Lepisosteus oculatus: one gene and its partner. The protein of the gene in region 1 interacts with the protein of each later gene in a pairwise test. Links are inferred from orthologs where the notes say so. Each region holds a gene or a part of one and is shown on either strand. Other genes may lie near its edges.

The links.
Region 2: the proteins of vasculin (region 1) and fibronectin type III domain-containing protein 11 interact in binary tests that used the Homo sapiens proteins (3 or more experiments, as listed by UniProt). The link is inferred for Lepisosteus oculatus from reciprocal best matches to the Homo sapiens genes GPBP1 and FNDC11.

Annotation. Positions count from the first base shown.
Region 1 is NC_090698.1:47,156,581-47,164,184, reverse strand, and holds the start of vasculin, read right to left. Parts: upstream 3,020-7,604; 5' UTR 2,717-3,019; intron 2,506-2,716; exon of another isoform or gene 2,112-2,505; intron 2,034-2,111; 5' UTR 1,865-2,033; exon of another isoform or gene 1,551-1,864; 5' UTR 1,151-1,550; intron 1-1,150. UniProt on the Homo sapiens protein: Functions as a GC-rich promoter-specific transactivating transcription factor.
Region 2 is NC_090711.1:13,185,311-13,193,094, forward strand, and holds the start of fibronectin type III domain-containing protein 11, read left to right. Parts: upstream 1-4,762; 5' UTR 4,763-4,864; intron 4,865-7,784.

The sequences.
Region 1 (7,604 bases):
AATTCACAGTTCTTAAAATGTTCAACACTTGTTTTACACAACACTCAATTTCAATCAACAGACTGCACACTGTGCTGGACCGCTTCACAGGATTTCTTAGAGAACGCTAAAGGCCTAGAGACCATAAAATTGACAACTATCACAATTTATTTTACAGTAGCTATTCATATGATGCAATACTATTACCTTGCCAGTAAATGCTCAGATCCACAAAGAAAACCTGCTATTAAGCATGGTTATTCAAGAACATGTGCCCTACTCCTACAACCATTAGAATTCAAAACTGTGACGAACACCAAAAGCCTGATAGCAGGAAATTAAAAAGCTAAAAGTAAGCAAACCTTTCTTTATTGAAAATCCCTGGGATCTCAGGCTCCCCAATGTCATGCAATATTTAACCACCCTGAAGAAAAGTTTTAAAAAATCTCAATACTTCAATTTACAGCATGCATGATCCAGCACCTGTTTTTTTTTTTCCCAAACGAGAGCCAGACGCTAATGGGCACCAATACAAAACATGCGGTGACAACAGGGTTACGGTCTGAAAACACAGAAAGAAGTGAAAGTGCACTTAAGATCTGTCCGCCCACAGATTTCCTTTCACAGAGTACCATCTTTTGGCTGTACTCTCAAACACTGCAACCCTATGATGCCAGAAGAAAAACATCGCAGCTTTACAGTCGAAATCATGTGGCTTTCTGCGGACAAAAACTGAGATGACGTAAAAATGATGTCTGCAAAAAAAAAAAAGATTTTCCCAGGATACCGCTGTTATGTCCAATCACTAAAAAGTGACACTGAAATTTTCTGTTATTTCTTCTCTATCATTTTTCAGTTATTACTACCACCAATCAACGAACACAATAAAATACCGACCATGACAGAAGGCGCTATTACTTCCCGTATGAAAATAAAGTAGGTCTATACCACTCACATATATACTTTTTTTAATATAAATTACTGGCAATAAGGTAATAGCGAGGTTTGCTTAATATCTTTTCCATCCATAGACCGACAACATAAGTCAAATTAATATCCGCATGTGCTATAATTGAATACACAAGTATATTCCGACTTTTAAAGCTTGCGATCCATTAAGGGTAAAATCCTTAAAAAACAAAGCCGAAGCGTTCAGTAAGATGTTACTAACCAAATGTTGAGGACTGTACAAAAAGGCGTCTCTTGTCGTCAGACTTCCCAAAAGCTCCACGTTTCTTCCTTTTGTCTTTAGCAATGAAAAAAAAAATACCAACAATGTAATAATCCCGGTGTTCTGCCTACAGATTTCTCATGCAGATCGGGTCCTTTACAATATGTACACGTAATCCTCAATCAACTTGCCATCTTCTTTTGAATAATCCCAAATCCCAGAATGGAAGAGACGGTTTAAGGATGTCAACGTTAAGCGAATTAACGTTTACTGTGCCCGATACATCAGTGTGTGTATGACACTTTTCAGGAAAAAAAAGAAGGGGTTGAGGCTCAGGATCAGGCGTCCCCTGCAAAAGTTATCAAAACAGGAGACTATCTTGACACCATTCTCGCACTACCTACAAAAACAAAGAGAAAATAAAAAAATCACATCACAAAAAATGAGACGACGGCTGCTACTCTCAATTGCCCTCATCTATAAACGTGCAGCATAACCCGCCGGTAGAATAATCTCGAAGTGTTTTTAATCTGTCATTATTGAAAGCCGATTCCGGGCAATTCAAGCCAAAAAATCTGGAAAATCTTTCGTTCCAACTCAGTAAAGTGCAACTACTGACTCATATTCTTCAAACGCCAGTCTCAGAAAACCTCTTGGACCAAGTGTGTCTCGTCAAGTCCGAGTGTAAATGTCACGATATTTAAAGATACGGACTTCCTATTTCATCTCGGGATTCTCAGGGCCAGCAGTCCGTCCTTCGGCATATTTGGCACACACAAAAGCCGAGAAATGGGCCATTCGTCGTCGGGTTTGGACTCCAAATAAACAGCAGCTTCTTGACAGTGTATTATTAATGCAGACCAACGGGCAAACAGCTCCTCGTCTGCAAGAGAAAGAATACGAAAAAGGTTAGTGGATCTCCAACACGCGAAGACTACACAATAATAGTTACAAAACATACCACCAACTATCCAAAATGTTGCTCTGTTTTTATTTTCAGCGAAGCGTCCGGTTCGTTTGGTGTTCTTTTTTAATGACATACGAAAAGGTGACAGTAAAAAAAAAAGAAGCGATGAGCAAAGCGCCCGACAGTCCAGCCTGAGTCCCCAATCCTGGTCCTGGAGGGGTCGGTTCTTCCGCGGGTTTTCAAGCTCTCTTAAAGCAGCAGCACCCGAAGAAGAGAGAGGCGATATTAAAGGGGTGCAGTTAAGACGGTACCCATCTGATTTAGCTCGTTCAGAGCGGAGCTGGAGTGAAAACCCGCACCCGCACCCACCGGCCCTCCGGGAGCAGGTTTGGAAACCCCCCGGTCCAGACAAGGCAGCTCCGCGCCCGCGGGTCGCCGCAGCGGCGCGGGTGACGACCGTCACACTGTGCATCGCATGTTACATAATGGAAAAATAAAACACCAGCGTGGGACAACTGCGCACACAACTACCATGAGACAATAACACTTGGTTTCTGTTTGCAGTCGTCTTTAAACGGGCTTGCAAATCGATCATCACCGCCGCTATTTTTTACAGCTCGTCAAGAAAGGGCTTTTGAACTTCTTTACAGTCCGCTTACCTGTGGCAAACCTATTCCACTAGTTCTCTCCCGATGGCCCTGAAAATACTCACACTGGTACCACTTCTTAACACTGTCCAATTACAAGACACACTCATTAGCCAAAATTTAGCCTCTTCCTTTTTTACAATTTCCTATCCACTTTCTCAATCTGTGAGCAATACCAGGCGAGCAAGAAAGTTCCCCATTGTCAAGCGTTATCCTTGGCGTTCCCGTGCACCATTGCGGAGGACGGATTTGTTTAATACGATCTTTTTTCTTCTTTTTATTTTTAATTTTTGCCGCTTTTGCCCCTCTCCTTCCCAAAATGGCGTCGCTATCCGCAATGCTTCGCGAGAATCTCGCAGGCGCCCGTGAATTGCTCGACCCCTCGGCTGTCAGTGTCAGCAGCCGGAGCTGTCTTTCATCCCTGCCTGCACGGGCACAGTTAGTTGGTTTTCTCTTATTTTTCTTGCTCCAAAGTGAGACGGATGCTTTATGTATACAATTATAGTGGTATGTATCATTTATTCATTTACATACGTATACATGTACATACATGACTTTCATCTATTTATATACATTTAATACACTTATGCTTCGTATAGGTGCGATCCTGCTGATTTATACTGTAGTGAGCAGTATAACCAAACAACAAAGAAAAAGGCAACCTATTTTCACACAGCAGTGGTCAAATGTGTTGCTACAGAAATTACCTGTAGTTAGAGAACTAACCGTTTCTTTTTCCTAGGATCATGAATTGATTTACTTTCCTATTCCATGTCAGAATTGCAACCTCCTAACAGGAGAGGAAGGAATTGTTGAAAGCTGTTAGCGTTTAAAGTGGCATGTCGCTCGCACTCTGCCAGGGGAGAGACAGGAGAACCTGAGCTTTTTCAGTGCCGGAGGAGCATGAGGACGTCACGGCAGGCTGAACAATGACCTAACGGAGGAACGCCTTCTGCCCGTGTGTGTTACGTCATTGGAAAGGTAAGGGGGTTTCCTGCAGTGAGCTGTAATTCGCTAGAAGGGTGAACCTCTTGATGTGCGTTTGCACTGAAACTCCGCTAAATGTCACTTGGAATCCAGCCTCGGTTCCTATAAAATAAACAATTCACTATCATTCTGTTTGACGTTTCAGTTTAACTGTAAGGTGCTGAATAAATACAATGCTCTTCATTTTAATACGTTAGAAACACAAGTCTCAAGAAAACTATTAAAAGAACATTGTATTTTATCATGTTTCCCAGACACAGTTCTTGAAATGTGGCGCACTTATAATAATAATAACAACAACCATAAATCATCATTTAAAGAATATGCATATTCTAGACCACCGAGAAAAGGAAATTGAATATACTGCGTATATACCCCTTGTTTTGTAACGCAAGTTTGTTTTTTTTTAATCTGTGCTAGTCCGTCGCCTCACACTCTGCTATGCTTCTCCAAAACTTATGAGTTGCTTGATCTTTGCTCCGAGATGTCCATAGCAAGGTTATCTTTGTGTTGTCATTATTATCCTTGGTAAAAATAATATTACTACTTGGTAATTTACTACATTAATCTCACATTTCATTAAGAAAGCTCTCCATTTTCCTGCGAAATATGATGGTTATGATTCCCCCCACCAACAGCTAGTGTTTTTGACGTTGAGTGCTTTTCACAATGTAATCTGTTTTTCCTAGCACTAAGACTCAAACAACAATGTTGATTGATTGGATTTTTGAATTAGTGTTCCTTAATTTTTGCACTGATATCATCTTAGAAAATGCTTTCTGTTCTTTGCGTTGTTGTCTGGGCCAACATGGAAGACAGTATTCCTCACATACAGTGAAAAGCATATTTTTGGGATACTGAAGAAATTGGTAATTGAACACATTAAATGATATGGGTTTAATGTGGCTAAAAAATAATACCCAATAACAACAGCTGAAATTCTGTATTTCTTACATCAAATCAACTCTATATTATCTTATATCAAATCTTTTGGTCTAAAATACAAATTTCATTAGTACACAGCAAAAAAAAGAGATACATTTCACTTCACTGTTCCAATTCTTACACTTTTCATGAAGAAACAATATGTAAATGAAGGGACAATATTTTGCGGAATATCTCCATCTACCCAGACGGTCAAAAGTGAATTTACTTACTTTCATTAATTTAGTTTTTTGTCTAGTTTTAAATTAAATCGACTGTAGAAGGTATCAGGTCTTCATGCATTTTTTCTTGCATGTGAACAAAATCATTTAATGATCGATGAAGTGTTTTTTTTCTTTTGTTGTTAAATTTCAATTCCTGGAGAGATCTAAATATTAAGATAATATAAAATACTGAACATTATTTGGAAATTCAGACTAATCCACTGAAAAATGTACATCAAATCAAACCTATTAATATTAACTTACACAGCTGATGCCAAATTAATTTATACCCCTAATAGAATCTTGGTGAAAGCTAGTATTAGCAGAAAATAATGAAAGTGCCTATTCAATATTTATTGCATGAATAAATTAAAACATAAACTGCCTGTAACTGCAGTTTTGAATATTACACAAGGATATCTATGCAAAATAACTTTATAGCATTCTAAATACACAATGTTAAAACTTATTTACATTCTGCAAATTTGTCATACAATTCTGAAATGTAAGCCTCTGGTGTTCTCAGCCATTGCCAGTTTCAAATAGTCTCAGAAAGTTCAGATAAGTTTCTAGCAGCTGAGTAAGTGGAAGTTGTATATGGAAAAATGATCAGAAATCCCTATTGACAAGTGCCTGAACCTATAAGAAGGTTTATCAAACCAAGAGGAGGTTCAAAGAAATACTGGTTGCTGATTGGGATTATTTTAAATTCATTTTGATTTCAGCATTCGGAAACTTAGCAAAATTATTTAGGACAATTGTGATTTTTTATGCAATACCAGTCTTTCATATATGAATTCATATTTCATTGGTTTGTGCAGCAGATACTGAATGCCTCTGTTTTTCTAAAACTAGCTTTCAATTGCATGGCATTCAACAGATGAATAAAAATAGAGCCTGGTGTACTTTTGAATTCTCTATTATAATAATAATGATGGAAATACAATGTCAGCAGTCATCCAGTGTTCATATTAATAATATTTTAACATACAGCTTATAGTAAAAATAATTATCCATTCATGGAATATAAATTCAGTGGAAGATTATTTAATGACTTCTGACCGCCTTGTTTATTGTAAAGACTAAATTTACCTCATGGCTGGATTAACAAAATTAGAGGGAAATAACTGAAAACCCCCCAGATCTTCTTATTCCTTAGTTTATATGTGGCAGTAAAACCTTTGTATCTTTTACATTGTTTTATATTAATTTATATTTCCAAGGAAACTGTATTATTTTCTTCATGAGCTGCTAGCATAATTCTCATGGGGTTTTTTTTCTTCAACTGAATTGTTACCTCCTTTTTAAATTCAGAAAATGACAGCCAGGTTCTGTCTAGTTACTGCCAGGAGAATGGCCAGTCAGAATGCCTTTTTTGCTTCCCCATCCCAAACCATCTCACTTATTGCTATGCCAGCTTTCAAACTGGGATTCTTTCTCTTGAGTGTCAGTTTTAGTTTATTTTGTACGCTGTAACATCTTTCCTGCAGTTTAATATCTGACTCATTCTTATCATGAAGGATCATCAAGAATTAATCATACTTATACTGTATAGCGCTTTTCATCCCAAAAGAATCCCAAAGCCCTTTAAATGTATCAGAAGGGGCACTCTTCACCCTCCCTAAAGTGCAGTATCCACTTGAGTGATGTGCAATAGGCATTATGCACCAGCACCTTACAGCAGAGCAGATCAAGTAGAGGTGTAAAAACTGCTTCAGCAGTAGAATTTAGGGCAATTGTTAGGTAGGATAGGCTGTACAAGCCCAGAGCGAAATTTAGCCAGGATACTGACACCCTTATTCTTATGATAGGCGTCCTGGGCAAACAGTAGCAATCATAGTAAGAAGGGCAGAAATTCATAGATAGGTATTCACTTCCGGTTCTGAATGAGAGGGAACGCTGGTGCGTTTGGCTGTCAGTCCTCTTGCCTCTTTTCATTTTTTAATCTTCTTTTTTCTTCTTTCTCTGTCACCCTTGTCTTTATTTGTTTTAACCCGCTCTATATTGTTCCCAAGCGCTTTGAGAAGCCACCTTTTAAAGGTGATATATAAAATAAAGTTTATTACTATTAGTAGTAGTATAACGCAGTATGGGGCCAAGATTCATGTACTGGTATTTTACAGTATGGCTCTCTAGTTTTTTCATGTTTGTTTGGGTTTTTTTTTCCCAAACATAATTTGCACCCCAATGTTCAAGGGTACATCTCTGATCAGAAAGAATGTAGTCCTTGAGAAGGAAAGCTAATTAAATACAGGCTTGGAGAATTAACTGGATGTAAAACACAAAAAGCGGGGCTTATTTCCACAGCATGAAAAAGTTTTAAAATTCATCCTGTTATTCATGCATGAAGGACATACATTATATAAAAGTATGCAGTGCTAACATTTATACAGAGTTGCTGTTATATTTATATAGTCTTTCACCACAGACTGTTCTGCAGACTACAAGCAATGTTATACTCCTTTCATGACAAAGTCACTTTCCTCTTTTGTAATTTTCCAGAACATAACACAATTTTATTTTGGAATGAATTAAACTGAAATATAACTTTTGAATAAATAAATCTTCAGTGACACTTTATAATCAGTTTGGCATTCATCCTAATTTATGGGTATGAATATGAATGTCCCTTGTTCTTTTACGATTTTTCAAGAAATCAAAGTGTCTTCTCATTCCATCTCTTATACTGTACTTTAAAAGTCAGAGCACCCATGGTCAGCTTTGAAAAAGGATGAAGGTCTAATTAATATTCATACCCTGAAATT
Region 2 (7,784 bases), on another chromosome or scaffold:
AGCACCCCGACAAGTAAAATCCACACCACCTCGCTCAATTCTACAACGAATTACGATTCCAGCGTGCCTGCGTGGGTATCACTTTCACAGTTCGACCTGCAGTCGAGATGACTCAGGGAAGCAAGGTGATTGAAGGCCCATATGCTTGAATCTGTGGCACTCTTAATGTGTTAAGAAAGCCTCGTCAGTATTTATGGCGCAGTATGAAGTCTTACTGGAGTTGCAGGGTCGATGCCAAACTCAGGCGCAGATTTCCTTCTTGGTCTCAAGCTTCGGATGCAGCACGATTGTCGGTTTTCTTCGGCGGGTCCTGTGCAAACGAACGCATTCATACAGCATCGCCTCCTGCTGGTGTGCATTCGGACAATACGTACATTTTCTTTAAGTTACAATTAAAAAGCAATTAAACACCAGTCTAATTAAATTATTTATTTTAAACAGCTGCTTCCATTTTAAATTTATAGTTTAAGACAACGAACCCAAGCGAACCCAAATAAAATATTTGACGTTCGCTGGGGGCTTTTAAGGCTGGGCAGATTCGGGCTCCTCGAAAACTAGTAATAGCAACTGGTGTGCGCAATGAACTTGTTTGATTACAAACCCCGGTACAGCTTTTCCAGCTAAATTAAGCGAGCAACCACATGTAGTCCGAACATCCTTCATATGAACAAGCGTTAATGCGTTTTATTTGTAATAATTTAAAAGAGAAATTCTAATATAAATGTTTGTTCATAATGTATAATAGGTGTTATGAACAAACAAAAGTGGTAGCTCTCGAGTCTCAGTTTGATAGATCTTGCGTTACAGGAGCTCCGTCTAGTGGCAGAATTAAAGCACTGCAGGTGCTTTGAAACAGCAGTGGGAAAATCGAATGTGCATTTTTACAGCGCTTCTCATTCCGAAGGATCTGATCCCCAGAGATCTCACCTCCGAAAGACGAGACCTTTTGCACCTTAATGAATTCGATCATCATACAAAGGCATTGGCATTGAATTTCTGTTGGAGGCAGAAGAGCGCCACCTACTGGCTCACCACCTCACTTAAAGCAGCAGCTCTCTCTGGAGGTCTGTCCCTCTCAGCCCTGGCCTATCATCTGAGATCTCAAAAGAAGGCAATATCTCTGCCAACATAACTCAGCCTCTGTGGGCGTTCCAGTGGTCCATCTGTTACTGTATAAAGCATGGCTAAATACATAATTCTCAACATCAACTCAGTACTCCTTGCACACTGACTTTCCTGCTCTTCGTTACTTAACCCTATTAACGCCTGACATATTTTCAGAACTCTATTTCTATTTCTCTGCCTTCATAAACCCTTTTTCTTTTATCATTCAGAGCAGCCCACGCCGGTTAAGCATTAGTTGAATGGGCTCTTTCGTTCCCTATCGGACCAATTCTGTGTTGCCTCACTGTGGTTTCAGTGCTTTGCTGCTGCTGTTTTTTTTAAATTGAAAACAGTTCAAGCAGCTACAGTCAGTTCTGTTTTGCTAGAGTGTCTGCTTCATCATCTTGGCTTTTGGTGTCTGGAAATGTGCCTCTGTCTCAGTGCTGGTATTTTAATAATAATAGTAATTGCTGACACATACTTTTCCTGACCCTCCACTCAGGACACTTTACAGGTAATGTGGATCCTCTCCACCACCACCAGTGTGCAGCCCCACCTGGATGATGCGACAGCAGCCAGAGTGTGCCAGAACGCTCACCACACATCAGCTATTAGTGGGGAGGAGAGCAGAGTAATGAAGCCAATTCAGAGATGGGGATTATTAGGAGGCCATGAATGATAAACGTCAGGGTGAAAATAGCCAGGACACCAGGGTTACACCCTTACCCTTTTCAAGAAGTTCCCTGGGATTTTCAATCACCACAGAGAGTCAGGACCTCGGTTTTACATCTCATCCGAAGGACGGCACCTTTTTACAGTATAGTGTCCCCATCTCTATAGCGGGGCATTATTTCTGTTTTTTTCCAGCAGAGCTATCCCAAATCTATTTGATTCCAGATGAGCTCTCTAGTATTAAAATGGGCCTTACATTCAGCAAGTAGCCTGCTTGATTAGACCCCTGACATTGTTGGGGTCTAAAAAAGTTAAACTTTTTTTAACTTTACATATTTTGACAACACTCGGTTGTTTATGAATGGAAAACAAGTTTTAAAGTTCTGTTTACAGAACTTACCATCTCATTTAAAAGCTACAGTGAAGGTTAGTATCTGCTGGAGTCATGCAGACCAGAATGGGTCTTTTTCTACATCTTATATGATTTTACAGCAATGACCGAGACATTTCTGAACCTGTACATTTTAGATGCTTGAAGATTGGGGCTGAGGAACAAGGCGAGAGGATTAATAATTAATAATAATTCCTTACACTTATATTGCACTTTTCTGGACTCTCCACTCAAAGCACTTTACAGGTAATGGAGATCCCCTCCTCCACCACCACCAGTGTGCAGCCCCACCTGGATGAGGTGACGGCAGCCACAGTGCTCCAGTACTCTCCACACACCAGCTCTCAGTGGGGAGGAGAGCAGAGTGATGAAGCCAGTTCAGAGATGGGGATTATTAGGAGGCCATGATTGGTAAGGACTAATGGGAAATTTGGCCAGGACACTGGGGTTACACCCCTACTCTTTTCAAGAAATGCCCTGGGATTGTTAATGACCACAGACGGACAGGACCTCGGTTTTTCGTCTCATCCGAAGGACAGCACCTTTTTAGAGTATAGTGTCCCTCTATCACTATACTGGGGCATTAGGACCCACACTGACCGAAGGGGTTAGCGCCCCCTGCTGGCCCCACTAACACCTCTGCCAGCAGCGACCTTAGTTTTTCTCCCATCTTGTAGGGCGGACTAGATCAGTGACTTCCTGAGAGCTGTTTGCAGAGCTGTTTGCCCTGAGAGTGCCTCCTTCAATGTCGGGCGAGTTGTTTCCCATGGCCTCTGCAATACTCCAGAAAACCAGCACAGAGCGTCAGCGCGTGTGTCACGACATCAGAAAGGTGACAATTAACCCCACTGGTGGGTGGGCCTGTTTAGCCTGTTTGTAAGTTAGTAACTAATTGATCCAAGTATCTCATCCAGCTGTTTTCAAGTCTCTTTAAGATTAAGTGATAAAGCGTATGACAGCAATGCTAACACCCCTGTACCACCATACTGTACCACCCTGATCGCCTACTAACAGCTGTTTAATCAAAAATAGCAGTAAGTTTAATCAGAAACAAGCAAGTTGAGGTTGTCACTGATTACTGCACGTGTGAACGCAAAGACTGTGAGAAACAAACTACAGGCAAACAGATCGATTTCTGCTACTGTTTCCTTCAAGAATAATAATAATAATAATAATGATAATAATAATAATACACTTTTTTTATATAACGCCTTTGAAGGTGGCTTCTCAAAGCGCTTTACAGGATGACAACAACAATAAATAAAAAGAATACACAAGATAAAACACAATTACAACAATACAACAATTACAATAGAGGAGACCGTGGATGGTGGTACTAAGAAGAGCAGAGGGGTGAAGAATGGAACCAGTTCAGTAAAGGCTTTTCTGAAGAAGAGGGTTTTGAGTCTGGATTTGAAGGAGGTTAGAGAAGGTGACTCTCTGATATCCTTGGGGAGAGAGTTCCAGAGCTTGGGGGCATAACAGGAGAAGGCCCTGTCACCCATACAATGTAGACGGGCTTGGGGGACAGTAAGGAGAGCAGAAAACACAAGATAACTCTGGGTTGAAGCAGGTTTTGTTCTCATTCGTTCATTTTCATTCAGCAACCTGTAACCTGTATACCCTCCTGTAACTCTTAATTGGCAGCCCCACTGAAGCTCAGCAGTGTGAGCCTGGTCAGTACCTGGATGAGAGGCCTCCTGGGAAAGCTAAGGCTGCTGCTGGAAGAGGTGTTAGTGGGGCCAGTAGGGGGTGCTCACCATGCAGTCCATGTGGGTCCTGATGCCCCACTATAGTGATGGGGATGCTGCACTGTAAAAAGGTGTTGTCTTCAGATGAGATGTAAAACCGAGGTTCTGACTCTCTGTGGTCATTAAAAATCCCAGCACGTTTCTCGAAAAGAGTAGGGGTGTAACCCAGGTGTGCTGGACAACATTTCTCATTGGCTTTTAACAACCATGGCTTCCTAATAATCCCCCTCTCTGAAATGGCTTCATTACTCTGTTCTCCTCCCCACTGAGAGCTGGTGTGTGGTGAGAGTACTGCTGTCACATCATCCAGGTGGGGGCTGCACACTGTTGATGGTGGAGGGGAGACCCCATTACCTGTAAAGCACTTTGAGTGGAGTGTCCAGAAAAGCGCTATATGAGTGTAAGGAATTATTATTATATTTATTCTACCTTACTCTTACCTTCGAAAAAGTAGGTTCTCACCTGTTCCAGTTCCTGCCACGAGGTGGCGACAACACTCATTCAGTCTTGCAGCTGAGGTCTCTGCGGGCCAATTGCTGTAGTTTAATGTCTGATTTTATTGTTGGTTCTATTTCCAACATTACTGAAAGGGGGGGGGGGGACACCTATTGTTTGTATTTATTTACTAGATGATAACGCATTTCATGTAATTAAATACATTTGGCGACACTTTGATCATCATCATTATCATCGTTGTTATAATTATTGTTGCTACTACAGTAAATAGAAATGTAGCGTTTGGGCGCCCCGCACATCATCGTGTTTGATGGTTTTCTGTAGTGGCAGAATGACCTCACAATGCTGTCGTGCTCGGTAATGGTAACTATAGTGATACAGGCCTAATCAAAACACTTAAAAAAATCCCTTTAATGTGTAAACAGTGAGGAAAATTTGGTAGCCCATGGATTATAATAATTTCTAAGTACAGGTGATGCTCACAACGAAGGTAGGAGAAACAGATGCAAACACAATTCAAAAGTTTGCCTTCGCATGAAAGTGACAGACGAGTTATGTCCTCATACATATACAACTGTATTAGACCGTGTTATATTATATCCCCAAAAAGATATGTTCTCTGTTTGGGCGACTAGAAAATGGGATATTTACAGTAGGCATCCGATAGTGGTCAGCTGTCCCAGGTTCACTCCAGATGTTTATTGGGATTTAACGACGTTCGCTCAAGAATAGTGTTTACAGAGAGCTCATATCCAGCTTGTTAAACACGGGTCTGACTTATTTAATGTGTAAAAGGTGGAATTATTTAAGTCTCAAAACGGTTCTGCCCCTTCAGCGAATGTGAACAGGTGCTAATGCATATTCGCACCCAAGGTGCGATATGTGTGCGCTCTTCATACAGTCTGTAAACCCGGAACGTGTTCGCGGTTGTGCGTGTTCGTAAGAGTGTAAACCGTGCAATCATCCTCACTCAGCTTGTCCTGATCAGAACCAAGAAGCTGCATGTCGAGTCGTGGGAGAATGTTGCAATATACTGCTGTACCGTGGCGGTTAGCTTCAGCCGAATTTCTCCAGAAACGGAAGTGAACGCCCTTCCTCTGGCTCGCGGTGCGCGAAGATTCATTAGTGGTAAACAACTTACCTTTTACACGCATCCTGTGCAAATGTGAAAATACACAGCTAATACCTGTTGTTTTTTACTTAAAACCACAAAAGATAAACTACACGCAGTAACACAGAAGTGCTGTAGTACTGACACTTTTGCAGACGTCAATAAAATACGAGCTGAAGTCAAAATATATTTATTCAATGCGGTTAATTTTTATGGCTGCTGTTTTTGCGTAGCTCTCGTTTATTTTGTATGCCCTGCGAGGCCAACCAAACAGAATGGGGGAAAAAAAGTTTTGTAAATAGGGACTAGTGTTCCTCAAAGTAGCTCGGAGATCCACCGGCAAGCTGCAACGTTACTGAGGGGAAAAGCAGTAGGTACAGATGAACACGCCCTAGTCTTTTATAGCTATATCCTAGTAACTAATCCCCTTAAGGGAGGGTATGTAGTACTGGTCTATTTTATTTTCACCGGAGCTGAGCTGTTCACAGCCCAGAGCCAGTGATGTACGACTTAAATGGGTCTGTTTCACACCTTGTCTATTTTTATAACGGCCGGTAATATAAAGTGGTCTGTTCACAACTGCTGAATCAGAACCAGTGCACGACACCCCTGCCAATGTCTCACTTTGTGCAGCATAATTTTTTTTCTTATCCTGTGAGAAATCCCAGTACAAAACAGAATGCAGATGTAATATTAGCCCTCTGTAGTCACTGCTAATGAAGTCTTACACCACTGCGTGTGTGGGTTTATTCAATTTAGTGTTTTAATGATGATAAGAGCAGGTGGAGACTGAATCATGTTTTAATGTTGGTCTTTTCTGTACAGTATCTCTCCATGCATGTATTGCTTTAGAGGTAGTTCTATTCTGTGCGGTACTGTCACAGATGTTCTGATTTCTCCACTAACCACAAAAACATTTTGCAATGCCTGTGGCATGCTGTTGTGAGCCATACTAAAAACAGCTATTTTCATTCTCTATATGATTCCCATTTTGCTGCCTCTTAGTTGTCCCTACCGTTAGGTCTTCCTGTACGGTGGCCCTGAGGTGCCAAGTGAAACAGAGGATAGTGTTTCTAGGAAGGGGGTCTTTCATAGATGAGAGGTGTATGTATACCATAATATACAATACTGTGTGAAGTGTCATGCACAGTTTCTAGGAGACACCATTCTCACACACAATTAAGAGACACCAGTTATCCTAGGCAGCATGTCTGTGGGAGGAAACTGGAGAATCTGTGGGAAGCTCACATGAGCAGGGAGAGAACATGCAAAGTCCATTCAGAATGTGCCCCAGGCTGAAATCGAACCCATCGTCAAAGAGCTGCAAGGTATGGGGGCATTTCTGACCAGCAGCGTAGCATGGCCAAAACACTTGAGTGTGCACTCAGGACATCACCTAAAATGTTCCATTTGCCTTCCCAGAACAGCCAACACAACAGCAGAATTACTGCCCAGAAGGACTGGTGTTGGGGTTGCAGAATGGCATTAACATCCTTCAGCAGATAATGGAAACTGATTAGGGAAGGGCAAATGATTCTCCTTGCCTCTGAGGAGTCAAGTCCCAGTGATCTGTGGTTGGCTATCATGGATTGGGAGACTCTCCTGGGCTGTGATGAGCCAGCATACACGTGGGCCAAGACCTTACTCTGTCTCACCCCCAGATGTGTCTCTCCCACTGTGCATCAGACGAATATGGTTCCCCTTGCTTACACTGATGCTCACTCAATAGCTCAGGCAGGTTCCCCACAGCCAGGTCTTCTAACCCTGGACACAGGCTCTGCCACCATCAGCTGGGGTCTGGCCTCTGAACATCACAGTTTCAGGTCCAGGGCTGTGAAACCCTTACAGTGCTCATGTGCCCTCTACCCAACACCAGTATGCATGCAAGCGGACCTTCTTATCGGCGTTGTGCATGGCTTAGGACAAAAACCAGATTGTATGTTACTGTACATCTCTAGAATCCTCTACTTCTTACAGTCCCACCTTGATTTGGTATAGGAGCTCATACCTGGTTTAGTTAAAGGCCCTTCCTCGTTGCAGACGATGCATTCTTTTTCAGAGAATCAAAGGTGTGAAGGCAAACCATTGTTTTTCACACCTTCACATAACCCATCATTTAAACTGAGGTACCCTCCAGCCCAGTGCCTTTTTCTCAAGGAGACCTTCACCAGCAGAGATTAAGTTAAGAGGTTATCTTGGGGACAGGGAGCTTCTCGCCATTAAGCTCACCCTTGAGGAGAGGAGGCACTGGCTGGCGGCAGCTCAACATCCATTTACTGTTCCACAGCAAGCCAGGTGC